Linked DNA regions of Medicago truncatula. The protein of the gene in region 2 interacts with the protein of the main gene of each other region in a biochemical or structural test. Links are inferred from orthologs where the notes say so. Each region holds a gene or a part of one and is shown on either strand. Other genes may lie near its edges. The genes, in order: peroxisomal membrane protein PEX14 and peroxisome biogenesis protein 5.

The links.
Region 1: the proteins of peroxisome biogenesis protein 5 (region 2) and peroxisomal membrane protein PEX14 form a complex in vitro, tested with the Arabidopsis thaliana proteins (2 studies listed by BioGRID, with this or other methods). The link is inferred for Medicago truncatula from reciprocal best matches to the Arabidopsis thaliana genes PEX5 and PEX14.

What each region holds. Positions count from the first base shown.
Region 1 is NC_053045.1:51,888,216-51,903,945, forward strand, and holds the start of peroxisomal membrane protein PEX14, read right to left. Parts: upstream 6,744-15,730; 5' UTR 6,582-6,743; coding exon 6,503-6,581; intron 4,614-6,502; coding exon 4,369-4,613; intron 4,275-4,368; coding exon 4,235-4,274; intron 4,097-4,234; coding exon 3,903-4,096; intron 3,734-3,902; coding exon 3,544-3,733; intron 3,397-3,543; coding exon 3,307-3,396; intron 2,843-3,306; coding exon 2,805-2,842; intron 2,673-2,804; coding exon 2,630-2,672; intron 2,549-2,629; coding exon 2,481-2,548; intron 805-2,480; coding exon 760-804; intron 520-759; coding exon 451-519; intron 85-450; coding exon 1-84. Other genes in the region: protein KINESIN LIGHT CHAIN-RELATED 3, read right to left, coding at 9,951-10,134, 10,427-12,261; serine/threonine/tyrosine-protein kinase HT1, read right to left, coding at 15,704-15,730. UniProt on the Arabidopsis thaliana protein: Component of the PEX13-PEX14 docking complex, a translocon channel that specifically mediates the import of peroxisomal cargo proteins bound to PEX5 receptor.
Region 2 is NC_053044.1:1,902,758-1,918,483, reverse strand, and holds the start of peroxisome biogenesis protein 5, read left to right. Parts: upstream 1-7,827; coding exon 7,828-7,950; intron 7,951-8,050; coding exon 8,051-8,173; intron 8,174-8,904; coding exon 8,905-9,052; intron 9,053-9,377; coding exon 9,378-9,571; intron 9,572-9,740; coding exon 9,741-9,992; intron 9,993-10,900; coding exon 10,901-11,017; intron 11,018-11,903; coding exon 11,904-12,071; intron 12,072-12,569; coding exon 12,570-12,769; intron 12,770-13,404; coding exon 13,405-13,651; intron 13,652-14,246; coding exon 14,247-14,331; intron 14,332-14,704; coding exon 14,705-14,814; intron 14,815-15,726. UniProt on the Arabidopsis thaliana protein: Receptor that mediates peroxisomal import of proteins containing a C-terminal PTS1-type tripeptide peroxisomal targeting signal (SKL-type).

The DNA.
Region 1 (15,730 bases), on a different chromosome or scaffold from region 2:
GACCTTGATATACGATTCTTCACCATTTGCTTGAGGCTGAAACACTTGGCTAGACGTGTTTTGAACCTGCCCAATCTCCCATGGCTGCCCAAGAGAAGTTGAGACACACAATCAGATTCATGTTTCTAATTAATGTTTCAATAGATGTGTTTGCCGATACTTGTTAGAATAGAACCAGAATTTTACAAGTTGTATAATTATACTTTTCACATTGATGGTCAGCAATCAGAACCAGAAATTTCTAGGAACCATTGCACGAGTTATATTAATAGAAAATCCTCAAAGATGAACCAAATCAAAGTTTAAAAAAAGAATCATTGCATGAGTTATATTAACAGAAAATCCTCAAAGATGAACTAAAACAAAATTTTAAAAAAGACGTATTTAACTTGGTTAAATAAAAAACTTCATAAAACTAAAGTAATTAGAAAAGGCAAATTTGTAATAAACCTTGGATCTAGGCAATATGCGAGGATCTGACGGCTGTTGACTAGGGTTGGGGGGTAAATCATTGATCTCCTGCATTAAAACACAGAGTATTACAAAAGTAACAAGCCACATAAAATTGGTAAACCTATTAGAGAAGAGCAATTTTAGTTTTAAACCATAATCTTTTACCTCACAGTGACACCTTTCCTAACATATCAAACTTTAATTACTTTTTTTCCTAATCAATCTTATAATTTTATATCAATGCTGCACAAATCAGGTTTATGATTTTAACATGCAATTAAGTTTTATCCAGATTAAAAGGCTTACTCTGATATTAGAAGGCTTCTCCCCTCTTTGGACCATGGCCATTATCTGCAAAAGATAATTGTAAAAGTCAAACATAATATTACAAGCATTCCGGAAGATGAATAACACTGTCCTATCAAATACGAAGAAAATGTACATTCATTAATTACTGCAGAATTCATTATTAAATTAAAGATATACATACGTATTGGAGATTAGTTCCTCAACTCAGGAAGATATGTGTAATTACAGAATTCTCAGGAAAATTCAGAAAAATAAATAAATAAAAGATAAAAATTGGGGATCTGTGAATTGTGATGCCTAGAGAATTCAATTATTGCCTAACTCTTCTCACCCCCTATCTTCCCTTTAACAATTTAGTCCACACTTTCTAGGGGTGATACCACAATCACTCCCTCCTCAATTTCATAACACCAGCTACAAAGTCCTAACTGTTAAAAACTTCACATTGGTTTTTTCATCTGCAATGAAGGTAGTGACAGTCCCTCTACAACCTTCAACTTTATCCCTTCTTTAAAACACATGCAACCAACCAGTCTTTACATTCATCCCGTTTGAATGCATGCCATCTTTCTCCCTCCTAGAAAAAAACTTGGATCAGGGACATATCAGCTTGCTGCTTAATGGGCAAAGCAATATAATGCCTTCTATAATTCAGACCACAGGGGAGAATGGATTCAACTATTCGGAAAAATTTATTATATTCCCACCAGAATTAATGCTCAGTCCATGTCAAGAATAATATTTGTATATGATATATGAATAGATATTGTGGCGTTGTTTGATCAATATAATCAACTCTACCTAGCAGATCAAGGCTTTGATTGATGTTTTCACCGTACTACTAGAATCAGTGTATAAATGGCAATATTAGATCCCTTATACCAAAGCAGAGATTGGGAAAGCTGGCTGATGGTTTATAGAAAACAAAGGAAATACTAATTTTGAGGCTTCACTCAACTTGTGTTGCAGGGAGAAGCAGACCCTTAGATAGTTTGATTGCAATCCAAACAAGAATAGCTAATCTTAATCATGGTTATAAATATGATGTCTTTGAAAAGGATTTGGTTGATAGTTTCGAGAAATTAAATTAGAGACAGAAAAGAAAATGTACAACTCGAAGAAAAATGAAATATCCAAGAAAACAAAAATAAATAACAATAAAATCAGAAGAAAAGGTTCAGTACCATGAATTGAAGGGAGCATTCTCATGAAGGATCAAACCAGTGTATTTATTAATTAAAAGAGACAATAAGGAGAATGGCATTTGAAGCAAATACTCTTAAATACTTCAATCAGCTAACAGGTGAGTTAATTGGACATTAATTATGCAACCGATACTCAAGATTGTAATAACCATTAACCAGCACCAACAAACAAACAAACAAACAAAAAATATCACAATAGATTTAAATCACTGTTTCATTTCATCCAGTTAAAAATTTCCAATTTAGCCCACCCTGACTTGGGTATTTTCAGAAGCAAAACTAAGAAATACAACATAAATAACAGAAAGTTATAATCCATAGTCGTATCCCAAAGCAATTAATGTCTAAATGTTATATTTTGATTATTATAATAGAAGTGATCTACAAGACATGAAGACAATGCTGAAATGGCAAACATTTAGATATGAATCAGAAGTAAAAGGCAAGGCAAAGCAAGGCAACTAGGTGAAAAACAATTAACTACACATGCAAATATGCAATATAAAATACTACCTCCATATATGACTTCGGATGAGGAGGACCTGATGGTTCAACAGGTGCAGGTGGGGATAATGATCTCACTGCATACAACATTCTAATGATCGGTAACATAATTCAGAATAAGACTAATTTAGTTAAGATCTAATAATCAATATTACAACCTGAACGCAAGTCATAGTCCGCCTTGCCATTCGCAACCAGTTGCTGCATGTATTTAAAATAAAATATGCCGGCAAAAGTTAAACAATAGACAACTCAAATCAGGATCAGAAAAGGTGTGCAAAATTTTTCATAAAAGAGAACGAGACAGTCCCCAGAGTTCTATTTATATCTGACCTTCAAACTTGTTTGACTGACTCGGAGATCTTCTTGCCCTGAGACAGATATCATAAGAAGGTACATTTTGTTCCATAATTTGGTAGAAACAGATATTCAACAATAACTTCAAAATTCTAAATAACTGGTAAACAATTCCAGCATATATACACAATAATTTGTGACATGATGCCACCAAAATTTATCAGGAAGCCTAAAACAGTTTTATGAAATCAAATTCAAGGGAATAAATGGCTTTCCTGATACAGTCATAAAGCCAGAAATCGATTTACAATATTAAAAACATAGATAAAACTTGTCAAAGCTCTTGGTCAGCATGAACCACCATGTTGTACTCTTAAGGGGTTATACATAACAAGTTCCCCAATTACACAGCCACATGCTTTATTAACAAATACACGAGCTCTATTGGCAAGTCATAAATGAAAACCAAAATAAAATATTCAAAGCATTGGAAACTTTTCAGGTCAGCCCAATATATTAAATGGTAATGCCCCATTACCTTCCAATCTTCTTATTGCATTTGTCATTAACTTCATTTCTTGTACTTGCTTATCTAAAAGACCCACAACTTCCACAAAGTATTTCCTTTCTGCAAAGCATAAATCAGATGTTGCAATGACAATGAGCCAATAATTACAGTAATTTCTCAGAATAAAAGATGCTCAGCAAGAGTAGAGGTATCAAAACAAAACGAAGACATTTTATACAATGCAAATTAAAGTTCCATAAAACCCACCTTCACCCTTTGAAGCCAACATTTCTTGGCTTGCTTTTGCCACATCTGCAGCTGCGGCTGCTGCTGATTTAGCAGCTTGAGCGGCTTCTTCAACCAAAGTTGGTTTGTTGTCAGTTTTCTTTGATTGTTCATCATCTTCGTCTAAGACAACCTTGCGTATCCATGATTTTAACCGAGGAAGAAGTGATTTCTAAAACATGAAGTATGCTTAAAGTTCAGAAGGATAAAAAAAAATGTGATAAAACTTGTACATTTAACAAGATATCAAGTACAAGAAAGGAAGAAAAAAAATGAAAATAGCACTCAGCCATTAAGATACTGATTTAGACGGCATCATGCATAACAGTTGGTGGTAATACCTTAATTATTAAAACTGTTCCAGCACCTGAAGCAGTCAGGAATCCAACTAGCATAAGGGCATGGGACCAGTGAAATCTGGTTCGTGATAAGGCTCCAGATGAAGTATTAACACCAGTAGAAGCAGGTAAAACTGGCTGCAAAGTTTGCTGTTGGGCTTGTTGCTGAACGTTTGATGGTGACTTCAATTGACCATCTGTTAGCATTATAATAGCCATGTTCAAAATGTAACTGAAGCAAGAACACATCTAGTTTATTCGAAACTAATCCAATATATATTTCACGAGCAATCTGACTCAACCCGAAGGAAAAGTACAACATTTAAATGTTTCACCTTGAGTTACACCAGATGTCTGCACAGTTGGAGCTGAATCCTGTGATATTTAATCAAGGTAAGGATTAAAAAGATGAACATACGGGAAACTGACTGAAAGATAATTAGTTTACAATAAAAAAGCACTGGCTTACAGGCACACGCCGAAAGGCTTCATCAATCTCCTCCTTCGTAAGACCCTTCTTCTCCAAAAATGACCGCCTGTACATGACGGGCGAACCTTTAACTTTTGGGTGTGATAGAAATTTCACAGCATTCTGAACTTGTTCTTCCCGCAATGGTTCTGAGTTCACAAAGACTGATGTAGATGAAATGGGTTTAACAGACTCATCTCCGGCATTTTGCTGATCCATGTTTGACGGTTGGATAATATCAGCACCTAAATCTCAAAAAAGAGAGTCAGCAAATCAATGTTATTATAACCAAAACAATATATCTGGCAACTTATCTGTAACATTCTGCTAGCAAATTCTATCAATCCATGAAGGGAAAATTCAACAACGGTACAGTAAAATGATGACAGCAACATAATCTTTGGTATAAGAAAAATAAGGAATCTGTTGAGAAATATAATTTATCATTACATGTCTGTTGCTTCATTTAGTCATTACCAGCAGTTCACCCTAGTAAATGGTATTAGTCTTGTCATGCTATTGATTAAGTATATAACTAACAATAAAGTTGTCGAGGTTTGGCATTAAAATTAATCATCAGAGTATCATTTGAAATACATTTTCTCATTTCTCTTGATGGTCTTGTGGTTTTCTCTTTTCCATGTAATCCTTGTATTTGTATAGGTTAAAAAAGTCTTAGAAAGTGGCAATCAAAATCCTCCATAAAAGATTGTACAATATAAATAAAGTTGTAGCTTCCTTGTTTTCCTTGGATTAGAATAACATGGAAGTATATTTAAATTCCTCAGACACCTATACTTTGTCCCATTGCAAGTTTTGTTATGATCGGTCTAAATAAACGAATCCACCTTAGGTTTCGTAAAGGGCCTGTGAGAATAATGTATGTGTAAATATCATTACCATATTAACCCATTTATCAGCCAAACTCCAAAATAATAAACATAATTACTAGCCTAAATTTGCTGTTATCAGTGGGGCTTGTCGTTTACAGATAAATTCCAATGAATTATTTTCTAGATAACTCAAAATGAATTAGAGTCTATTTGCAAAAACTAACTAAATTACATAAAGTCAGAATATAAAATATCATGAATAAATAACCTATAACTTTAAATAAAGGGTCATGCTAACAATTGCCCTGTTAAGGATTCAAAACTAGAAATGATTCATGAATTTTATGTTGAAAAAGTTACTTTTTGTTCTTTCAATGTGTTGAATGCACAATTTCCAAGGTAAAGTTCCCATTTTAAACTTCTTAACTAGCATTTCCCTTAAATAAATGGGGCTATAGGAGATCAATTTAAAGGAGGCACATTGAAATTATCCAATTGAAACGATATAAAGAATAGCGGACATGAACATATCCAATTGAAATGAAGATCAATGTTGTTGACTAAGCTAAAGAAATCAAGACAGCATCAAAATTATGCAAGTTGTAGAAAAATTACCAAAAACAGATTAGAAGTCACATAAATATCACAACCACAATATTCTACATTTCCCAAAAACTGATTACTAGATTACCAAGTCATATGATCCTTCCAAACTAAAAGTTAGGGACAGACTCCAAGAGAAAGTATGCTTTCCCTAATATTCTGTTTGGAAATTGAAACCATAAATTGCCGAGACGCTTCTTCAAAATAATAAATTGTCGAGACCAAAAATTGAAATGTTTGGAAAGTCAAAATTAAAATTTTCTTTAATGATCCCAAACCACAGTTTAAGGGAAACTTCAAGAATCGGAGAAACCGAGAAACCGAGAAACAATATGAGATTGCCATGGTGTTGATGGTCAATCACCAGACACCTGAGGTGTTAACTCAGTGGTAAGAACTTAGCCGTATAAGCTCAGATACTTAGTTCAAACTTCAAATCCCTCGGAGACGGTATTAGTGTCAATTTGATTAATAAAAATCTCCCTCTTCCCCAATTAAACAAAAAGTGCAGCACTGAGATAAATCGATAATCATGTACAAGAATTTCGTATTAAAAAAAAGAAAGAAAAAAGCAAAAAAGTGTTATTGAAAGTGAAAAGTAGAATCGATAAGATACTAGTGGTGCAATTACGGATTCTAGTGCGATCGATGATAATAAGAGAGGTGAAATGAATAAAAAAGGAGATAGAAATTGAAACCTTGATTTTCATCGGTGGCGGTGGGAGATGGAAGAGGTGGTGGTGGTGATGGTGATGGTGATGGTGATTGGGTTGCCATGAATGAAGCTACTCAATCCTTCCTTAGCGGTTGGGATGACAGTGAAGCGAGTGAGTGGATTTTGTTGAATTGAATAAAACAAAGAGAAAGAGAGTTTGGGTTTTATTTGCACTCCTCCAAGTATATCAGTTTGTTCGAAACATGCCAAACTATTATGTTTCTCTCATCTCTTTTATGATCTATCTATTCCATTCCACATCTTTTTTTGTGTTTTTGTGTGTGTGTGTGTGTTTTTTATTTATTTTTTATTTTTTTATTTTTATGTCTAGTCAACTTTAACTAGTTATTTTATTATTCATTTTTTCCTTGATTTTCTTTTTAAATACCCAAGCTTCTTCATTAAAATATTTCAAAAATCTTTTATGTGGGAATCACCATCATCATCATAACCATGTCTTCAATGAGGCAGCCACCCCACCTTTGAGGATGCCGACAGAAACACACTTACTAGCCCCATAACCAAGAAAGAAGTGACAGCCGCCCTTCACTCCATGAAATCCTACAAAGCCTCTGGTCCGGATGGGTTTCAATGTATCTTCTTTAAATAGTATTGGCACATTGTTGGAGATGACGTCTTCAACCTTGTTCACCCGGCCTTCCACACCAGCCATTTTGACCCATCCATTGAGAAAATGCAAACTAGATTAGCCTCTAGGAAGAACAAGCTTCTCAACAAACCGGGTAGATTAGCCTTAGCTTCTTCTGTTTTATCATTTATCCCTTCGTATTACATGCAGATTAATTGGCTCCCCCAAAGCATCTGCGATAGCATTGATCAAACAACACGTAATTTCATATGGAGAGATTCTAACAACAAAGGCATTCATTTGGTTGGTTGGGATAAAATAGCTAAGCCAAAAATCATGGGAGGCTTGGGTATCCGCTCATCTAGAAGAATGAATATTTGTCTCCTTGGTAAATTGGTTTGGGACATGGTTCAGCACTCCACCAAGCTATGGGTCCAATTTCTTACACACAAATATTCAGCAGCCCCACACTTGCTCCTCGCCACTGATCATCCGAGTTGCTCCCCCACCTGGGCAGCCATTGTTCGTACAAAAAACTTGCTTTCCGCCGGCTATGCTTGGAGACATGGCAGCGGTGCCTCCTCCTTTTGGTTCACTAATTGGACCTCCACAGGTTACCTAGCCAACATCGTCCCTTATGTCGACATTCATGACCTCCACCTCACCGTCAAGGATGTCCTTACCTGTCCCGCACCTCACACCAACATTCTTTACACCTCTCTTCCAACTGAGATTGCTAACAACATCAACAATACGGATGTCACTTTCAACGATGTCATAGATGACACTTTTGTTTGGTTTCACAACAAAAATGGAGTTTATACTGCTAAAAGCGGCTACGATTGGCTCCTCTCCCACCCAGTTGCCGACACCAGTGCCAACCCTCATCAATCTTGGACCTGGATTTGGAATTTGCACCTCCTGGAAAAATATAAATTTCTTGTTTGGCTGGCTTGTCATGATGCCACTCCTACTCTATCTCTATTATCGCATAGAAACATTGCCCAATCAGCTATGTGTACCTGTTGCAACCAGCAGGATGAGTCCTTTCTTCATTGTATTCGTGACTGTCCTCACTCCTCCAGGATTTGGTGCCACTTTGGTTTCAATTCGGATGCTTTCTTTGCGGAAACAAGCACCCATGTTTAGTTAAAAAATGGCCTCACAGGTACTCAATCTTTTACCTTCACAGCATGGGTTTGGTGGGCTTGGCGTCACCGCAATTTAATGCGTCTCAACAATGAGGAGTGGTCTCTTAATCAACTTGCATTCAATATTCAGAACTCTATTGATGTTAACCGCATCCTTCCTGCATAACTCTCTTTCTCAGGCCACGGACACCGTGGTAAAATGGAATTGCGACATCCACTCTTATTATATTCTCAATGTTGACGGGAGTTGTCTTGGAAACCCTCAACATACCGGATTCGGTGGCCCCCTTAGGAACAGTGCGAGATTATTTATCTCTGGTTTTTCCGGGAACATTGCCAACGCGTCTGACATTCTTTTGGCCGAACTCCATGCCATCTTTCAAGGTCTGCGAATGGTTTCAGATATGGGAATATCTGATTTTGTGTGCTACTTCGACTCTCTCCACTCTGTTAGCCTTATCAATGTCCCTTTCATGTCTATGTCACTCTGTTAGCCGACATAAAGTACCTCGTTATTACCAGCAAGGCTTCTGTTTTTCACACTCTTCGTGAGGGAAATTACTGCGCAGATTTTCTTGCAAAGTTGGGAGCGGCTTCTGACTATGTGTTGACGATTCATGTCTCACCTCCTGATGGGATGATTCAACTGACTAAAGATGATGCTTGGGAACTCTCTTCCCTAGGGCTCTAGCCTCAGTTCTTTTTTTCTTTTTCGTTTTCTGTTTTCTTTGCTTTTCGTTTCTTTTACCCTTGTAACCAAAAAATTTCTCCATTAAAATTAAACATAATGTGATAACGTAAGTTTCAAACATTGATGTTTGTTAATATTTGATTGAATATCATAACATACTAATAAAATTTTAGATCTTATAAGTACAACTCAACTCCAATACATTAGATATGATGAGATGTAGATTCAAACTCGCAATTCAATTCTTAATATTAATATTAAGTGTGTGAATTTTGCCGTTAAACTTCTTCGAATAGAACTTAATATTAAGTGTGTAAATTTTATAGCTAAACTTCTTCGAATAGAAAAAAAAATCATTCAATCAATTTTTTTTTGTGGTGATCGGGGTTTGAACCACGAATCTTACATATACTATGCATTGTACCTACCAACTGAGCTAAATTTTCCGAGCACATCTTATATATTGATTATTATTTGTGGATGACAGTTGTTAAATTAAATATTATTAGTTGTTGTGTCTTTTCCTTTTTAAGTATCATGCCGTGTCATAATTTAATTTAATAAGACGTGAATGTTTTTTTATTTTTTTATTTTTTATTTTTACGTGAATGTTGAAGATTAGATATCTTGCTATGATGCTTCACTAACCATTTTTCATACATATCATTTTACATTCACGGAAGAGTTGCTTACAAAAATAGATGGAGATCATATGATTCTATAAGTTAGCAAATCAATCTTGTTAAATATTTAAAAAAAAAAAAAAAAACTGATCAAAACATATCAAAATCTTATTATAATTAATCTGAAAAAAGAAGAATCCGATTAATTACATTGTATCTACAAATAAGGTAGCATAATTTAGTACAAATAAATCATTAAGCTCGAATCATTGAATTTCAGCCCCATAAAACTACCACAATGACCAGTTCTTAATCAATTATGCTTATTACCTAGCTTTTCTAGAACTACATTAAAGCACATTCACAGTGTTTCATCATTAGTCCTCATTAACATCAAGAAGAATCTCAAGTGACTTGGTTTTTCTCTTCCGAACTCTGCCTGTTTCCTTCAACAACTCATCCAACCTTCTCTTCTCATCAACAACATCAAAGTGTGCTGTCCCAAGTTTTTCCTCCCTCACAACTACAATGTACTCTATAATATCAATTGCATCGTCCACCCTGAAATAGAATATCATAGTACATGAACAAAATAACTTTCACATAATCATTTCTTATTTGGTCATATCTAACCTAAAAGTCTCAAAAACCATGAAGCAAGAAACTACATACCATACCATATAGCGTGGGTTGGTTTATTCAAATAATAGACATTATACTAATTTTCAACATTAGTGGTCCTACTTGATTATTAGATCTAGTCAAATATATATACAACATCACAAATAGCTACAGCTTGCTTTGGATAATGCCTCAATATCATGAAGACAGTCACAAACTATAAAATGTATACCTGCCAATTGCATCATATGTGCCAGCAAGATTGCTATATACGCCAAGAGTTTCAGGGTGACAAGGACCATACTCTTGTTCCAAAACAATCTTCGCTTCTTCGAATAATTTGACAGCCTCACTCAAGGCGTTAAGTTGCACACAACAAAGACCCATTTGATTAAGAACAAAACCAAAGAAAGCCGATTTTTTCTCTCCTGTGGCGCGAAGCTTTGAGACGGCATTCTTGAAAGCATTGTAAGATTCAGTCTGGTTTCCCAACACATAGTATATGACCCCCATTTGAGCTTCAATTCCTGCAATTGTGTTCTGTTGGCCAGGGGCATCATTATGTATCTCTAATGCCTTGTGCAGTAACTCGAGTGCTTGTTCAAGCTCATTCATTGACTCATAAATAGCTGCAACATTCACAAAACCACTAGCAATCTCCTCAGAAGGGACACCAGGCATGGGATTTTCATAGATTTTAAGTGCATTTTCACAATATGATTTTGATTCCCTTACCTTCCATGTCCTATTATACAACTCAGCCAAACGTACTAAGACCGATCCAACCGAAGGATGATTCCCTCCTTTGTGAGTCTTGAAAACCGCTAACGCCTTTTTATATGCCAAGATGGCCTCATCGTATCGAGCCAATGATAGGAATGTGTCTCCAATGCTGCAATCAACAGACGCCACTTCCACTTCTTGGCCATTTGATACCATTGCCATGCTTGCTAAAACAAGGTGCTCCAATGCTGCTTCATGATTTCCATTAGTTTCACATATAAGACCTATCAATCTTCTATCCGCCACCTCTTCAAGAGAAGAGGGTGAACCATTTTCTCTATGAATATCAAGAGCAATTTGACACAGCCTCTCAGCCTCATCAAATTGCAATGCTTGAAAATTAGCTTCTGCTATGTATCTACAAGTTTCACCAACTCTTGGATCAGTTACTCCCAAAACCTTTCTTTGTACTTCCAACCCATTGTTGTAACACATAATTGAATTCTCAAGTTGGCCTAGCATAGCATAAGTGTCTCCAAGTTGCATGTGACTGGCGAATTTCGCAATAGCATGTTGCTTGCCTTCCTCAACGGCAGGAATTTCGATTGATCGCTCTAAAATTGGAATTGCCTCATTATAATGACCCAAACTGCAATATATTGCTGCAGTAACATGTAAACACATAACCAGATCCAAACTCGGTTTCCCATTCGCAGATTTCTCAAACAATTTCGTCGCTTGAAGTGATAACTCGAGAGCTTTCCTCGGGTTCTCTCCTAACGAAATCAAATCCCTTGCTTTCTTTAGTAAAAATGGTCCAAGCTCAGGATTATCAAATGTTGATTCCTTAGAATCGTCGACTCGACTTTGTGACCTTGATCTTCCAATAGAAGCAATCTTAGGTTTTACCGCACGATTAGTAACTGTTGTACTTTGTTTTCTCAAAGGATTGTTTCCATTCTTCCTTTCAACAGGAGGTTTTGCAGGAGGATTTTTTCCCTTAGCTCTTGATATTGATGGTGTTTCACTGCTAGAGTCCCTGACTACCTTTTTCACCATTTCCTCTTTCACTATCTCCAACTTCCTCATTTGTTCTCCACTAATATGGCTAAATTCTGAATCAGTTAAAGACCAATCACTATCAGATCCAAAGCTTTGACTTGAGCGTGTTCGACGCGAACGTCTTGCATCATGTACAATTTCATGAAACCTCTCAACACTTCTAGGTGTTTGTGGGCTCGATGGTATTCTTGGTGAATTGATTTTATTATAGATGTTCTTAGAGGGTGAAGGGTTCTCAAGTTCATTCATTTTATTTCCTTCAATTGGAACAACACTTGGCATCTTTGATTTCCTAGGAATCAAAGAACCTACAAAAATAAATCATGGTTAAGAATCTACAAAACAAAACCCCCCAAAATCATTTAGGAATAATAAAAAAACACATGTTATAAGACAAATGCATGCAAGGGTTTAAATCATTGAATTAAGTTAGAATTGCATGTTACAATAACTTTTTTTGACAATGAACAATATGAACAAGTTGTTCATGATTAATTAAAAAACACATGCATAACCAATGATTTAACAAAAATAAATAGACGAAAGATAAGAAAATCATTAAATATATGTTCCAAATTGCCATTTTCTGATATTGGGATTGGATGCATGAATAGAAGACAATGGATTGAAAGAAAATAAATATATGAGAAGAAATACCTTAACAACAATGAGCACCAAACCAAGAGAGAAATATGAAGCGGAGATAAAAACCAGAAGGAAATGTAAAACAAGAAGAAGGATTGAAATCAAAACATATTAAAGAAAAGTTATATAAAAATAAAAGGATTTTTGGTTTTGCAGAGTTGGAATGGAACTTCTTCACAAACCAACTAACTGCGCGCAACCTGCAACGGTCTGTGATCCTCTGCTTTGTCATTTTCCCCCTTCCTCTAACTCCCAATGCCACATGGCATTCCCATATTTCAATTTATTTATTAAATAAATATAAACCCTTCTTTTTTGGTTACATGAGAGAGAAGAAAAAAAAAAGAACTAAAACTAAGTCTTAAAAAAGGACACTGTCCGCTAGAAGCGTCCAAGACAAACTAGGAAAAATTCATTAACAATAAATCAAAGAGTCCACATAGTTAGCTCCCAACTATGCAAGAATATCCACACAAGCATTCCTTTCACGAAGAGTATTTTTCAAAACAAAATCCAATCATTTTTTATGTAATCTTTGATAGTCTCCACCATATTAACATTATTGTGATATCGATATGTTCTACCAACTTGACCATATGAAGGGATTCAGAATAACAAATAAGTTTTTTAAAACCCGCTTGCCAACACAACTCAATGCCAATTAAGAGGACTTGAATCTCTGCATGTAACACGTTCGAGATACTTTTCAGAAGGTTGCCTATCCCAAAATTGCTCAAAGTCAAGCACGTTTAATTGTGGATTTCTTATGAAATAACTACCAAAAAGAAGATGCATCTTGTTGGTATATGTAGTACCAAACAATTCTTGTAAGCTTTCCTTCGACCAAATAGTCTCATACCTGCACGGCTTCAGGAACCCTCTCATTTCAAAGTGGATTCGGTTTGCCTAAAAGGAGCCGCTCATTTGCCATGTCTTGTGCACCGACGATCAGTATCACTCTCCGACTTCGTCCTCATCAACGTCGACGTTACAGTTACGGTTGTTTGTTTTAAGGTTTGAAATTATATTCCCCAAAATGATATTTATAAGAATAAAATTTCCATAAATAATATTCCAACTCATATATTTGGTAATTTTTTTTATTTCCTTAGAATGTTTTTAAAATGGTATTTGATTTAAAAAATAAAAATACCAATAAATGTGACTGGTAGTGAAAAGTTATGGTTAGTTGAGCTTTGTTCCGGTGGAAATGTTAAATTCCTTCTTTGAGCATAGAAATAGAAATTTGAAAATCACGTGTAAAAAACATTTCTAGGAATAAAAGTTATATATACATAATTTTTTAAAACTTAAAACAAGTTGGATTCCAAATCTCATATATAACACTAGAATCTTTGAAATAAACACGCTCTTAGGTTTTGGAGTTTGAACGGAAGGATTTTGGATGGTGTGAAATATAAAGAAAAATGAAAAAATACTTCATATTTTTTGAAAGAGCAATTTTGTAGAGAGTAATAAATTAATACTTTGGGCTTCGGCCCTCTCTTGTACCAAAAAAAAAAAATAAATAAATAAATTAATACTTATGAATAACATATTTTTAATTTTAAAAATATTATAACAATAAATATTAAATTTAAAGAATTCATATAAACATTCTATAATTCTCTTCAAATACAGTTTTTGGATTTTCCAAACGAGAAGAGTATTATTGTTTTATTAAAAAAATAAACCCAAAAAACTCTTCCCCTCTCAATGTCCGATTTGATGATAGTTAATTATAAAAAGCTCTAAAATTAGTGTTTTTAATGAAAAAATATTTTGATTTATCAAAACACAAGTTTAACCAAGCACTGGAAAATGCCAAGCAAGCACTCGCCTCAACGTTGGTAATTGGCAATATATATATAAAACAGAAAAATGGTTTTAAGTTAAAAAAGAATGACGGCTGTGGGATTTGAACCCACGCCCTTTCGGACCAGAGCCTAAATCTGGCGCCTTAGACCACTCGGCCAAACCGTCTTGTTGTGTAATTGGCTCCTTCTATTAGTATATAAACTTTAATTTGTTATATATTAAAGATTTAACACTATTGTTTTGCTAAAATATTTAACATTTCAACTTAGCCAACTTTATTACTTAGCTTATTTGTTGTTTTTATTTTAGTCTCATAACTTATTAACATTACATTTTGATCTCTTAATATATACTCTATTAATTAAATAAATTTTTGTTGTTAACTTTTGTCAAATGTTAAAATTCATCACATTCATCTTCAAACCTAAAAAATTTATCACCTTCATCATCTCCCTTCATCAACAAACCTAGGAAAAAAAAAGAAAAAAAAAAACTCACAATGAACTTTCAAGATTAATGTTAAAAAAAAAATATCAAGATTAAGTTTTTCCCCCTTTTTTAAAATTGATTGGTAGTTTCTTCGATAAAAAATTCGTATTTAGTTTGAGTCTCAGTCTCATTCACCATAAACTTCCACGTTCTTTTTCTTCTTACCGCAATCTTCAACCTTCAAGATCTTATTTCATGTTGATCTTACAACTCTCAAGACTTAATTGTATAGGTGTCATTGAGTAAAAAAAATAGTTTGATGAGCTAAAGTTTATTACATCTTAGGCCCTCTTTGTAATTTTTTTTATAAAAAAGGTGAAAATAATTGATTTTTGAAACCATAATTCTTAAAACAAGATAACTATTCAGTAATAATTGATGAACTGATAAATGCAAAGTAAGTTTTTTAAAAATAAAATAAGATAGAGAGAAACAAAGAAATGGAATTATTCAGTAATAAGGTGAATTTGAATAAATTTCTCAAATATCATGTATTAGAAAAACATAAAAAAATATATTTAACAATGAATTATTTTAAACAATAACCGGTTGCATAAATTTAAATGTACTTGTATTTCAATTCTTTAAAAAAACTATCATTTATTTTTCCATAACCACTTATAAGAACTTCAAAAATTGCTCTTTATAGCGAATTTTTTGCAAGGGAAGAACTATAATTTTCTTCTAATTAAAGACTCTGTAAGCTAGAAGTTAATACAAATAGCACCATATTAGTCCTTCCTGGAATTGGTATAATACAATTATCATCATCCTAGGCTTTGCTATAAGTGAACTCATT
Region 2 (15,726 bases):
ACAACATAAACGGGATATCACATTCTTTTCTTAAAATCATAAACTGAATAAATAACTATTTATCCTTTAAAATTCAATAACAAAATCTTAAATACTTTGCAGCGGAATTTCTTCAATAACTAAAAACAATCTTTGCCACTAAGGTCTCTTTATAAATGTCTCATAAAAATCCAATCTAAAAACATAGTCATGAATCTTCAAAAACAATACGTAAGGAATATAAAAGTAATAACAAAGTTCCCATCCCGTTACGTATCAGAGCACCTAAAGACACACATGAGAGCTAATCCACTCACAACAGCAACTGAAACTCGATCACCTGCAAGTTACTCATACGAAGAGCAACATTTCCAAGCAGAAGGGGTGAGATTTCACAAAACAATAATATTAAGCATATAATTCAACAATTATATTTAATCAACATCAAATCATCTTAATATTCATTATAGATAGTACTATATCATTTAGCACTTCAATCATAGTTTGTATAAACAATTACAACTTCACAACTTATCAACTTAAACATCCTTGACTCGACAAATGTGACTCCAACTCGATTATGCAACTTAGACCTCTTATATGCATGTGGTACCAATACGGAGCATCAAGCCCCTATCGCTATTTGAGTATTATTATACTTCCAGAGCATCAAGCCCCAATCGCTATTTGAGTATTATTATACTTCCGGAGCATCAAGCCCCAATCGCTATTTGAGTATTATTATACTTCCGGAGCATCAAGCCCCTATCGCTGAAATGCTAATGCATGGACTCGACTTCTTAATCTTATATAATCCAATAATTTGGACTTCATCATCTTAATCAACTTGGACCGACTCATGCAGCTTAGTTAAATAACAACAGCGACACAACAGTATACAAAAACAGCATGACATAATAATATCAAATGCAAGTCAACAACGTCTCAATTATTCACATATAATTCAAGTAATGCATATATAATTATATCACAATATAAACAACATCAAATGGTAATCAACATCTTAAAACATCATATATACATATAACACTTCATTAATCATGGACAATATCGTATTCACAAACATATACATACATATACTAATTCATCAATCATAATCAATTATTCACTGTGACCTACGTTCAGTAATTTAACTATAACGCAAGTTCTATAAATTATTTTGACGTCAGACCAACGGCATTAGAAAGCTAACATACATACCTACAACTTTCTTGTTTACACCTAAGACTAATTATGCACCAATCAATACCAGTTTTCATTTCAAACTCGGACAAAGTTGTGCTGAAATTCGTGAAAATTCACTAAGACCTCCTTGGAGTAATTTCATCATAACTCCTAAACCAAAAATCATTTTTACTCCAAACCAAAGCCATTGGAAAGATAACTAAATTATCTACGACTTTCATTTTTACACCAAAACCCAGTTCAAAACGGAAACGTGTGAAAAAGACCGGAGAACATGGAACAGAAGATGCTGTCACTGTGCAGCTCTCGGGAAAAACCAATTTTTCACCCAAAAATCCCAATTTTGACTTCCATATGCCCAAATTTGATCCCAAAGTTTGTCTAAACATTTATATACATCAAAAGAGACTCAAAACCATATGAAACTTGACCCAAAAACATTATTTTAGAAAATCATCAATTAACCACTTTTAACCCTAATTCCCAAATTCTCAAAAACTAAAACCTACAACATGTTAAATCCAATTTCCAGAATCGATGACTTAAGATTATTGAATGTTAGTCCCACCCTTACCTTAGAATGAATGATCGGCGGCTTCTCTCTCTCTTGGTTCTCCTCTTCTCTTGTTTTCTCCCGTTTTCTCCAAAAAGCAATTTCACGTAAAAAAAGTTTCTAAACATAGTTTTCTTCTTATATCTCTCCTCATTTTATTTTTCTTATTTCCTCTATTTTCACTAAACTCCTCTAAATTCCAAAACAGCTCCACATCTCAATATTTATTTTATTTTCAAATCTTATTCTATTAAATACTAAAATAAGCCACTTAATAAATCACATAATCATTTAAATATATTCTAAACTCATTAAAAATAATCGAATAAAACAAATAATTCAAAGAGGGCGTTACAACTCTACCCCCCTTAAAAGAATTTCGTCCTCGAAATTCAAAACACACAAGAAAAGAATTCAATCATTGCCTAAATATCTTAAACTATATATAGCCAAATAGAAACTTCAAACAAAACATATAAACCACATTAAAGTTAGTCAATCAAACATGATCACATAATAAACATATCTATCAATTAGAAACACAACAACAACCAATCAAACAGCATAAAGACATTAATACCAATGTTAATCGACACAACTCTACTCAACTACTTGGCTGGACGGACCGACCTGCTCTGATACCAATTGTAACACCCCGTTTTCCCAATATGAAAATTTCTAAACATTTATCAGAGTAAACAACATAAACGGGATATCACATTCTTTTCTTAAAATCATAAACTGAATAAATAACTATTTATCCTTTAAAATTCAATAACAAAATCTTAAATACTTTGCAGCGGAATTTCTTCAATAACTAAAAACAATCTTTGCCACTAAGGTCTCTTTATAAATGTCTCATAAAAATCCAATCTAAAAACATAGTCATGAATCTTCAAAAACAATACGTAAGGAATATAAAAGTAATAACAAAGTTCCCATCCCGTTACGTATCAGAGCACCTAAAGACACACATGAGAGCTAATCCACTCACAACAGCAACTGAAACTCGATCACCTGCAAGTTACTCATACGAAGAGCAACATTTCCAAGCAGAAGGGGTGAGATTTCACAAAACAATAATATTAAGCATATAATTCAACAATTATATTTAATCAACATCAAATCATCTTAATATTCATTATAGATAGTACTATATCATTTAGCACTTCAATCATAGTTTGTATAAACAATTACAACTTCACAACTTATCAACTTAAACATCCTTGACTCGACAAATGTGACTCCAACTCGATTATGCAACTTAGACCTCTTATATGCATGTGGTACCAATACGGAGCATCAAGCCCCTATCGCTATTTGAGTATTATTATACTTCCAGAGCATCAAGCCCCAATCGCTATTTGAGTATTATTATACTTCCGGAGCATCAAGCCCCAATCGCTATTTGAGTATTATTATACTTCCGGAGCATCAAGCCCCTATCGCTGAAATGCTAATGCATGGACTCGACTTCTTAATCTTATATAATCCAATAATTTGGACTTCATCATCTTAATCAACTTGGACCGACTCATGCAGCTTAGTTAAATAACAACAGCGACACAACAGTATACAAAAACAGCATGACATAATAATATCAAATGCAAGTCAACAACGTCTCAATTATTCACATATAATTCAAGTAATGCATATATAATTATATCACAATATAAACAACATCAAATGGTAATCAACATCTTAAAACATCATATATACATATAACACTTCATTAATCATGGACAATATCGTATTCACAAACATATACATACATATACTAATTCATCAATCATAATCAATTATTCACTGTGACCTACGTTCAGTAATTTAACTATAACGCAAGTTCTATAAATTATTTTGACGTCAGACCAACGGCATTAGAAAGCTAACATACATACCTACAACTTTCTTGTTTACACCTAAGACTAATTATGTACCAATCAATACCAGTTTTCATTTCAAACTCGGACAAAGTTGTGCTGAAATTCGTGAAAATTCACTAAGACCTCCTTGGAGTAATTTCATCATAACTCCTAAACCAAAAATCATTTTTACTCCAAACCAAAGCCATTGGAAAGATAACTAAATTATCTACGACTTTCATTTTTACACCAAAACCCAGTTCAAAATGGAAACGTGTGAAAAAGACCGGAGAACATGGAACAGAAGATGCTGTCACTGTGCAGCTCTCGGGAAAAACCAATTTTTCACCCAAAAATCCCAATTTTGACTTCCATATGCCCAAATTTGATCCCAAAGTTTGTCTAAACATTTATATACATCAAAAGAGACTCAAAACCATATAAAACTTGACCCAAAAACATTATTTTAGAAAATCATCAATTAACCACTTTTAACCCTAATTCCCAAATTCTCAAAAACTAAAACCTACAACATGTTAAATCCAATTTCCAGAATCGATGACTTAAGATTATTGAATGTTAGTCCCACCCTTACCTTAGAATGAATGATCGGCGGCTTCTCTCTCTCTTGGTTCTCCTCTTCTCTTGTTTTCTCCCGTTTTCTCCAAAAAGCAATTTCACGTAAAAAAAGTTTCTAAACATAGTTTTCTTCTTATATCTCTCCTCATTTTATTTTTCTTATTTCCTCTATTTTCACTAAACTCCTCTAAATTCCAAAACAGCTCCACATCTCAATATTTATTTTATTTTCAAATCTTATTCTATTAAATACTAAAATAAGCCACTTAATAAATCACATAATCATTTAAATATATTCTAAACTCATTAAAAATAATCGAATAAAACAAATAATTCAAAGAGGGCGTTACACATGGTCCTGCACCAAACAAATAAAATAAAAACTTTTTTAAAGTGTAGCCGCGGAGATTACCTTTGTGCTCTTCCATATAACATCAAAATCATTTTCCTCTCTATATTCATTGTTCATCGTGACATGTTTAACGAGTGTATTGAATTTTTAGTTATGTTAAGTGTTGATCGATTTTGCTCTTTCTAAGTGAGTATGAGAAAATCTTTCATGGGCACAATCACAAATCAATATTCTTAGGTACACACATGAAATGTAAAAAAATTCAAGAAAAAGTATTTAGTCATTTTTTTTAGACAAAAAGGAAAAATATATTAAAAAAAAAAAGGCGTATAAAGAGATTGGGGGGACATTAAACCTGACTCAGGTACAATCCAAACCAAAATACATTGTTATAAATCAAATCTACCCAAATCAATCATAACAAACAAACATTTGTTTCAAACGCAATCTGGCGAACCCGCGTACAAGCGCGAAACCAAATTTACAAAAAAAAAAAAAAAGGAAAAGAGTGACATATGCACAGAGAAATTAGGGTTCAAAGTGGCGAATGGATCGGCCGCCAACACGAAATCCGGATCCACGTACCAACTCCCTGATCTTGTCAGCAAGTATGAAGCTCTTTCAAACATAACAGTATGACATGACTTAAACAAACCAGTAACAGAGGGGAGGCACATCTGACACCTTGAGACCTGCAGATCTCAACATATCTGAAGCATCAAAGAATCAAATAGAGCAGGAACCAAACACAACCAGTCACCTTAAACACGTATTGAACCAAGAAATGGGTCAACGCGTTCTTCGCTAACCATACCCTTTCGGGTTAAAAGAACCAACATACCCTTTCGAGTTTACGAAACCAACCACAAGTCAGAATCGAAACCACCCCAATCTCTGATAAAAAATAGACAAAAAAGCTTGAAAAACAACGAAATAAAACAATAGGTGATGAAGAGATGAAACAAAACAGCTGCGATCGAACAATAGAAACACAACCCTTCTGAATCAGTGTAGGCAAGTTGCGATACAACCCACGAACACAAACCCAAATAGAATGACGACTTCAAGACGATCCGACAACCCACTAACACCACCAGCGACCCAACAAGACATCACCAAAGCGGCGAGAGCGAGAAACTCTTGTGGAACAAAACAATTCGTGATGGCGTTGGTGACCAAAACCCCATTAGTGGGTTTGGTGGTGGAAGCCATACAAGCCAAGCAACCACCACCACGTTCCAGGTCTACATACTATTGAAGAAAGTTTGGTAAGGGAAGAGAGAATCACAAATGTAGTTATCCCAGTTCATTCTCTGAACTATAGCTACTTTATGCCCTCTCGCATTCTGAGAGATTTTTCACTATAATCAACAAATTACAAAAACCTGTTATAGCAAGCTCGTCTTAAATTTCATGGTCTCAACTTAAAGGACTTCCTAACACTTCCTAACTTCAAACAAGAGGATTACAAATAAACTTGTGTTTGCACAAACTATAACAACAGTAAACATTTGAGCTTAGTACACTTGAGAGTGTATATCTCTGTATTTATTTTCTTATTTTCCAGACAATGTATATGATAATAATATAGAATGATTCACAATATTGTATATGGGTGTTGTGTAACGTTTCTTCAGCCAAATCAAATCCATTACATGGAAGACGTGAGATGATAACCATTGCTGAAGAGATTTTGTCTTTAGTTTACTGAGTAATTGTTGTGATATTCTCATTAAGAGTAGTTAGTGAATCAAACATTCATTTCAATCATTGATGCACTTTAATGATTTTTCCTGAGTTACATAAGTCAGGAACTAAGTTTCCTTTAAGAGCAAAGAGTTGTTGTATCAGTGACATGTCTTTAGCTAACACTTGATAAAGCGGCTTTGACCACAAAGCATTGACCTGCATTCCACATAACTTGACCTTTAACTTGATACAAAAGTCTCGTCTTTATCTATGACACATAACTTTTCATCAAGGTCTAGAGTTTAGAACAATCCATAGGAAAATCATCATTTTCTTAGAACTTCCTACACATTTAAATACACATAATGTATCTAATTATTCTCATATGCTTTGTTTTCATCAAATCTTGGTCTAACATATTTGAGACTCGTGATTTGAACTTGTTCTAACCGCGTGTCTGGTTTAACAAGCTCATACAACACAAGAATTCAAAATAATTACAACCATAGAGTGGAAGTTCAATAGCGCGTCACGAACAAATCCGATAGAAAGTTGCTCGGCAGCGAGTTCATAGAATAATAAGATTTATAATCAGTTCGTCTATAAAAGGATTGTGAAATTCCTATTTACGACTACGATTTAAATTAGAATTAAGTAACAAAGGAGGGGGTTGCACTTGACAATGGTTGAGGATTTGAACTCTAACTAATTTAATATTTTGCTAGACAAACAAAATAAAAATTGCTATTATAAACTCACAGAAATGAACGAAAGGGTTAGGAAATTTGAACTTTAACTTTTATATGTATAATGTAATGACTTTTTTTTTATCGAGGGAAGAATGTATAATGTAATGTCTTCATTATCTTTCATATTTTTTATTTTTTATTTTTTTTTGGTTCAAGCATAGTTTGGTATTATTATTTGATTGTTTACTGGGGTTTGTTGTTGGTATTCAACAACTCTATTCAACATATTATTTGCGTAACAGATTCTTTAGAAGTTCTCTGTCTTCTTTACGATCCAAATCACTCTCATATACATGTATACGTCTCTTTGTGGATGAATATTTTTGGGTTAAACGAGCATATTTCTAACATTTTTTTAACATGATTCGAGAGGGCAACCACTGCGCAATTCTTTTTACCAAGCTCAGGCGCTCCTCAAGATTAGATGTGACTTTTTGGCACGTTGTCCCACAAGAGTTGAGGCTTGATGTCCCATAGAGTCTTGTTCTTGGTTTTTTTTTTTTTCATTTTTTCTTTTGGTATTCTGCCAAAAAAAAAATATTGTTTATATAAAATTGTGAGAAAAAAGAAAAGGAAAAAAAGATGAGAGACAAGCATTATTATAGCGCACAGACAGCAAAGAGGTTAGATAGATAGATAGAGAGATAACAAATACCAAAATAAAAAACACACACAAACACACGGACGGTGAGAGACAAGACGTAGTAGCAGCACCCAGCTGCTGCAAAAAAAGGGCTTTGACGAGTGATAGAGAATCAAAACTATCATTCATCAATCCATTTCAATTCTTCTATTTTGATTCGAATAATCATAATAATATAAATATAAAATATAAAGTTAGTTAGTTGAATATATACTATGGCGATGCGTGATCTTATCACAGGTGCTACTTCTTGTCCTGACCCTTCTGCTTCTTCTTCCTCTCAAAACCCTCTCGGTTCTCTTGCTAATGCTCTCCTCGGTTCTTCCTCAAAAAATCAGGTACTCTCTCTTTCATATTCAATTCAATTCAATTCAATTCAATTCAATTCTATTCAATTCATAACTAACTGAATTGTTTAATTTAATTATATTATTATAGGAGAGGTTGAAGGAAATTCCTACATCAACATCCACTCCTTCTGCATCGCAATTTTACTCTCAACCTCATACCCAGCTACCTGGTTCCGAATTCGATAAACCTTTTCTCGATGCTAATTCTCAGGTCAGGATTAAAACAATTAATTAATTATGATGTGTATTTATTCGATCACGGTGTAAAACTATTTGAAATTATGCTTATGTTTATATTTATGTTTTCATGGACTTGTATCTAATTTAAATGCAAAAATTAATTTTTTATATCAAGTATGTCATCCTTTGGCTCTTACGAGTATTTTTGAAATGTGTGTTAGTTGTAGAAGATAAAAAAGTATGAGAGCTAGAGATAAACATTTATAGTGTTTGTATTTTGATGTTCCAATAACACAGCTCAAATCGAATGTATGAATTAATTTGGTTGGTTTATTTATTTTAAATTTATTCATTTTTGTAGCGGTGCAGGGTTTGGAATTATTCCTTCTGCTTAAATGTTTATCTTTTTGTGTATGTATTGGTTTACTTACACTCCCTCTGTTTTGAAATGAGCGTTGTTTAAGATTTTTACACAAATTAAGAAATGCAATGAAGGTGTACGAATACACAATACTTTTACTAAACTCACTTTAGTAACTATTGATATGTTTCCTATTGTCAAAAACGCAAATTGGATTACAATGTTTTGAATTTTAAGAGTAGTGTACGTAGTATGAATTTGGAATAGTGTATGGTTTGGATTTCAAAATCAGGCTTTATGCTTATGTTTATGTGTGTGTTGGTTGACTTGTATCTATATTGACTGGATGAATTTGGTTTGTTTAGTTATTTGAATTTCAATATGAATTTTGGATGGTGTAGGGTTCAGAGTTTTTGAATAGGTTTAGGTCTGCGGGTGCGGGTGGGTTTGATGAAACGTGGGATGAGATACAAGGTGATGGAAATCAACTCCGGCTCTATGATGGTAGGGGACAGCTACCACCACAGCTTCATCAACCCACACTGGATGGTAATTTCAAAGTTCATTTCCTCTTTGGATTGTCTTGTTTTGTGTTTTAAGGATGTGTTTGAGTAAAGAAGTCCATTAAGTGCTTTTTATCCCAAAAGTGAGGTTGCATAAGTTGTTCTTTTTGTTCAACTGGGATTGAGGAGAAACTGTATATGTTATTTCTATAAGCTATTTTGAGGAGCTTATATATTATAATGAAATGCCTATGTTGTAATATAAGCTTAAATAAGCTCTTACAGTTGATGGGCATATTATTTGATGCTTTGAGATGGTTAACATAAAAAAAGAGACACAAATTGATGTTGTTTTCTTTCCAATATGTCAGGGACACCGCAAAGAGTTCTATCTACCTTTTTGCACTCATTTCTTGACAGCAGTCGCGGTGGAATACCTTTTCATCCTGCCCCTCTTCCAGTATTGGGTTTATCTGAAGGCGATAAACAATGTATACGTGACCGTAGCAGCATAATGGCTAGGCATCTCTTTGCAGATAAAAGTGAAGAATTTATCCATGCTCAAGTAAGGAAATTCACGGATACCTTCATCTAGTTTCCGCTTACTTTTTTTCCGATTATTAAATTAATTATCTGCATACACACATAATGCTCTGAAGACTGAACTTTTCTTTGAGGGCAAAAGTGAGTATTGATTATGTATCTCTAGACTTATCACATGTATTACTTTTTAGGTAAATGCTCTTCTGTCCTCTCTAGATATTGACAGCAATGTCCGTGGCAAGGGCCCTATGCCTGAAAGACATAGGGAGCTTGAAGATTATTGGAACGAGTCTCAAGGAAACCTGATACAGGGTGCTCATGCTTCAGACGGATGGATTACCGAATTCAGTCAAAATAGGGAAAGATATGATAATCCCGATGCATGGGCCAACTCATTTGAGCAACAGCATGGTGCAAATGGTTGGGCTTCTGAATTTGAACATGTGAGAAGTCTTCACTGTTCTATTTGTAGCTATAATTTTAATTCTCTCGGTCACATATATCTGCACTCAAGCATAATATTGAATCTATCAATAACATGCAATTCAAACCCTTTATCTTTGTTGAGGAAACTTGTTATGTTGAACTGACTAAGAAAGCAAACATTGTAGAGTTACTCTTGTATTTCGCGGTGAAATCTGCACAAACTCTAAATTCGAAATAACGTTAGTCATGTAATACCTATTTCTAGTCAGTCTATTAAATCTTCTGAATAAGTACATCTTATATTTATTCGGTTGAAATTGCTTCCTTTGTATGGTCTCCATTTATTAGCAATTTTAAATTTTAGGGTTTCCTAGCCTAAAATGTTGCTTCCACCACTGTATGGCTATTCCTTTTAGTTTCAGTTTCACAATCAATTATTTCCCTTTCTTCAGCAATAGCTTTCTTCCAAAATAATTCTTCATATTATTTCTTCCTTGGTCTTGATGTTCGCGTCCATCTCTTGTGCCCTCCCAGCATACACATCAAAAGAAAGAGCTGTGTGATGAACAGCTCCAGAATATATCTAGCAGAGTTGTAGTTTAATTTCTTTTCTGTTTGAGATTATTATAATTTCAATCAGAATGTTGAAAATGGGTGGGATCGAAGTAAAATATAGCCGGTAACAGAAAGAAAAAAAAAATGGTGTTTATGCGGGCAGCCATGCGTGTGTGTCCACATAATATGTCTTCGATGCAATGCCTTCTTTTTTCATCGGTCTTGATGCTGGTATCTGTAGGCTAGTTTTATATTGGCATTTTTAAATATTTTCTATTCATTGATTTCTCAATGTTACACCTACATTATTTTTATTCCACTTTATATTATATTGTTGATTTTTTTTCTTCTTCTTGGTTACATCTTTCAGTCTCAATTGTCATCAGTAGATCAAATGCGAGGTATGAACATGTCCAACATTGCTGCTATGGAGCAGACTCGTATGCTTGCAAATACATTGGCCCAGAATGCTGACCCTAAATTTCAGGTTCATCCATTGCTCTTGACTGTTCAATTTATACTTCACAACATATTGCAATCCAGTACTTTATTATTTATGACATTAAAGATAGAAAGTTCAGTAATATTTTTCTTTACCTTCTTGTTAAATTAATTTTCTCTTTTCATTGTGAATAATTGAATATTGTTGATAGATATTGAATTTGTCAAATTTTCCTTATTGTATGATAAAGCTGGCAATTTTAAGGCACATGACTATTATGTTCATTTACCTGAATCAACAATCTCTCGTTTATAAGATTCAATCATCTAGCTTAGGTTAGCACAACAAGAGTAACTTGTCAACAAACATCAATTATCCCTCATTTATCGCACCAGGGAAGTTTATTCCAGTAATATGCTGCTATTTACTGTTTTGTTCTGGAGTGTAATGCTCGAGTTTTGTGACAGTATCTTAGTCGTCTCAAATTCTTTTGATAGAGAACGGTATTCTTGGCCTCCTTGAGTGTAAAAGCTAAAGGTGTCTGCCAGGAGATGTCTTGACTTGATATTTTGCATCATTCTTTTTCTTATTTTTTATTTTTTGTGCTTTGGCTGGTTTAGGAGTATGTTGTTTTTTCCCTAATAAAACAGCTGAGTTATTACAAAATTTATGGCGATGAAAAGGGAGATTACAAGAGTGAGGAAAAATCTCTATGCTTGTTTACTGTTTATGTTGTTGTTTTTCGGGGTTTTTTGTTGATGTATAAATATCATGGAGGGAATAACAACCTTTATGTTGATGAGCCTATTTTTATTGTGCTTTATTATTGTGTCCTTGCCATACAAAACATCTTATCCTCTTGTGGCTTTTCTTTCCTCTTTTATGAAACCTGAAATACAAAATTTCAATAACATGTTCTTTTGGTATGCAGAACTCGAAGTTCCTTCAATTTGTATCAAAGATGAGCCGTGGTGAGTTGATTATCGATGACAATCAAGTTAAAGAGTCTGCATTACCCGCACCTGGAGATTGGGCAACAGAATACCAGCAGCAGTATAATCATGGTGATGCATGGGCTGGTGAATTCTTAAATAATAAGGCATGTCCAATAAGCAGGAAACAACATTCATTTGCAAGCTTTTTATCGAGTATTGATCGGCTTATATTCAGTTAAAAAATACTAATATTTATCAGGATGTTTTTCTTGTTTGCTGAATGTGTATGAGACAAAAATAGGAAGAGGCATTTCCTTTAAAATATAAATGCTTTTACCCCACCTTATCTTCAAAAATGTTATCCAAGTTTTGTGTTGAGTTCTTGAGGAGTCCTATCTATATGGGAAACAGGTGTTAGTATGGGTTCTATCACTTTGATTTCCAAGAATATTATTTCTCTTTTTTTCTTCGGGATGTTAAACATTATAGACTTACCATTGTTATTACTTGTGCGTGCCTACATCATTGTGAACAAGTTATTGTGTTATCTTTTGAATTCAGTACTTCATTAAAGTTGAGAGTTGAGTCTTGGTGCAACAGTAGGATTAACTAATTGACAAGTCCTTTTTCTCTAATTTTGGACACTGATTTGTGGATTGAAGGCTTATCCTAGAGCGGGACCTGAACTGTGGGCGAATGAATTTGCAACAGAAAGACAACAAAATGGAGCAGCTGATGACCAGTGGGTTGATGAATTCTCGAAGTTGCATGTTAATGACTGGGCTGAGGAATTCGGTCAGCAGATTGGTGAAGGAGCCTTTGGGGAAGGCTCTTCGGATAATTGGGCTCAGGCATATGATGAGTAAGTCAAACTTTTTCATTAATTGAATTTCAATATTTTTTCACCCTTACATAAAGATTTATTTACTGCATTTATCAAAGAAAAACAACTTTTCTTTCAAGTAATTATTGAATAACCCTGGACTACACCATTATGCGGACTTCCATGAATAGAATTGGAAGTTGCGAAGAGATTGGAAATCTGTTTTAGGCTGATCTATTTAGAATTCTATATTAATTAAATGTTTTAGTCTGATTTCTACCTTTCCCCTTGAAGATAGATATTTCTTATCATTCTTGATTCCCTTTTTCCTAGTTATTTTTAGTTCAAAGATACCAGTTTCTCCTTTTCGAAAGGTGAAATTACTTGCAGAAACTCAACATTCATTGATTATCAATGTAAATCACTATGATAGACACCTTGCATTGATCGGATGTATATTCCATTTGTAATTAATTAACCTATAACCTATATCACGTAATGTATTATAATAATAGAAGTAATTCATAAAAAAATATAAGATATTGCTACTATATTGTAACACTACATATTTGGGTTGTGCCCACTTACGTTCCCCTTAAACTTGAAAGTGTTTAATGCCAGCATGGAGGTTATTCCCTTGAATTAATCAGAATCTCTTTTGGGGTTATGTGAAGGTTCTTGAATGAGCAAGTTGCTGCCAAGCAGCGGTCAGATAGTTCAAGGGGTGTGTATGTGTTTTCAGATTTAAATCCTTATGTTGGTCATCCAAATCCACTAAAAGAAGGCCAAGATCTGTTCAGGAAAGGGCTTTTAAGTGAAGCAGTTCTAGCACTAGAAGCCGAAGTCTTGAAAAACCCTGAAAATTCCGAAGGATGGAGACTACTCGGAATAGCACATGCAGAAAATGACGATGATCAACAGGTTAGGTTATGCTTTCTTGTTGATAAACTCTCCTATTTGTGTAGACTGTTATAACATTTGTTTTTTACTAACCACTACAAATAATACATTAACATGGCGCTGTACAGATTTTCTACAGAATTACCAATTTTTTATCAATTTATTTGTATTTATGTTTCAACTGCCTATAGCAGAACAGTGTTTCTGTCCAACTAAATATGCTATTCTATTTTGCTTCTTTATATAGTATGATGTAATTTTTCAACGTATGCGGTAATCATTTCATCCTGTGAATTTTATAAATTTGACATAAAATGGTTTCAGTTAGTTTATATTTGTTGACCATTTCATATTTACAAAAATAATATTAAATGGGTATTTCCATAGAGTATACTGTATAGCATCATATTGTTAATTCTTTGTTGTTTTTGTAGTAAATCATTTTGCTTTCTTTCTCTACCTCGCCCTTTTTTACAGGAATGTTTATTGTTAATTATACAGTTTAGTCAACCACATTCTTCTTAGTTATACTACGATTGATCTATCACTTTGTATTTTACATGCTTCTTTATGCAGTAACTTATAGCTTTTGTAAAAACTTTTCAAACCTACACAGGCGATTGCAGCGATGATGCGTGCACAAGAGGCTGATCCAACAAACTTGGAGGTGCTTCTTGCTCTTGGTGTCAGTCATACAAATGGTCAGTGACTGACTGCTTCTGATATCTCAATAAATGATATCTTGTACAATAGAAAATTAATGTAAATTCAAAGGCTGCTTTGTCATACCATGCTTTGACGCTTGAATTGATTTTGTGTTCAATTCTTCTAATTTTTTAAGTTTTTATTCAATAGAAATTGTAGGGCTTGGACTTTGGAGAGATCTTTTGAGAAACTAAAATATTTATATTTACTTAACTTCCTATTATTCATGCTTAGGATTCTAATAGTCCATTTTGTTGTTGTCTTCTATTTTAGTGAATTTATTATTGTAAGCATTGATGCAAATGACTTGTAGGTTTAACATTGGATTCCTAAATAAAAATTATTGAACATATGTGTTGGTTTTTGCAGAACTGGAGCAAAATGCTGCTTTGAAGTATCTATTTGGATGGCTACGAAATCACCCAAAATATGGAACGATTGCCCCACCTGAGATGTCTGATTCTTTGTACTATGCTGATGTAAGTGGAATTGAATGCTTCCTGAATATCATGTCTGCTAAAAGTACATTATGATTTAGATATGTCCATATAGCTGACCCCACCTAGTGAGATACGACTTTGTTGTAATTTGAAATTGAGTTTTAGATAAAAGAAGAAGATAAATAATGAAGACTTTGATTGAATATGCTAATAGTGTAATTTTATTGTTAATAACATGTTACAAAAGATTAAACACTAACCTCTATTTATAGGGATACACAACTCCTAATTCTAAATAAATAGGGACATTAGAAAACAAATCATGATAATAACTAGGAAATATAGAACTAATCTTATAATATCATGATATTTTAAGATATTTTCTTATTTACTCACTCTCAAGCTACAGCTTACTAGTTTTTGAGCTTGTTACATTTTTTTTTAAAGCCAGCTTGTTACATATATACCCTTTGAAAAAGAGAAAACTGGCAAGTGAGGTAACCAAATCCAAAAACATATCTTGGATAAACCAAGGAGAAACACCAAAATCATAAGTCAATAAAGTCGTGCCCAAGAGTAAACCACCAAGCTCCAACCCATGAAATCACTGCTGGCTTTCATGAACGATAATGCTTACAGCAGCTGAACCCCTTACTAGAAGGTGTCACAAATTTGATCCATACTAAAATGGTGAAGTGGCAGTTGATGCAAAGAATAAACTGTGGACACCTTAAAGCACCCTAGTTGGGGTAAACCTTGAACTAAAACAAGGTACAAATATCCTGAAAAAGCTCAAACAGATTAAAGAAAACCAGAAAAGTGGGAGTGGGACCCACACAATGGAAGATGCATTCTCACAGGAGTCCCAAACAACGCAATAGTGTATTAACATATATTCTCCCAATCCCAGTCCATTATTTTAACGTTTCAATCAAGTTGGGATGCATTTTT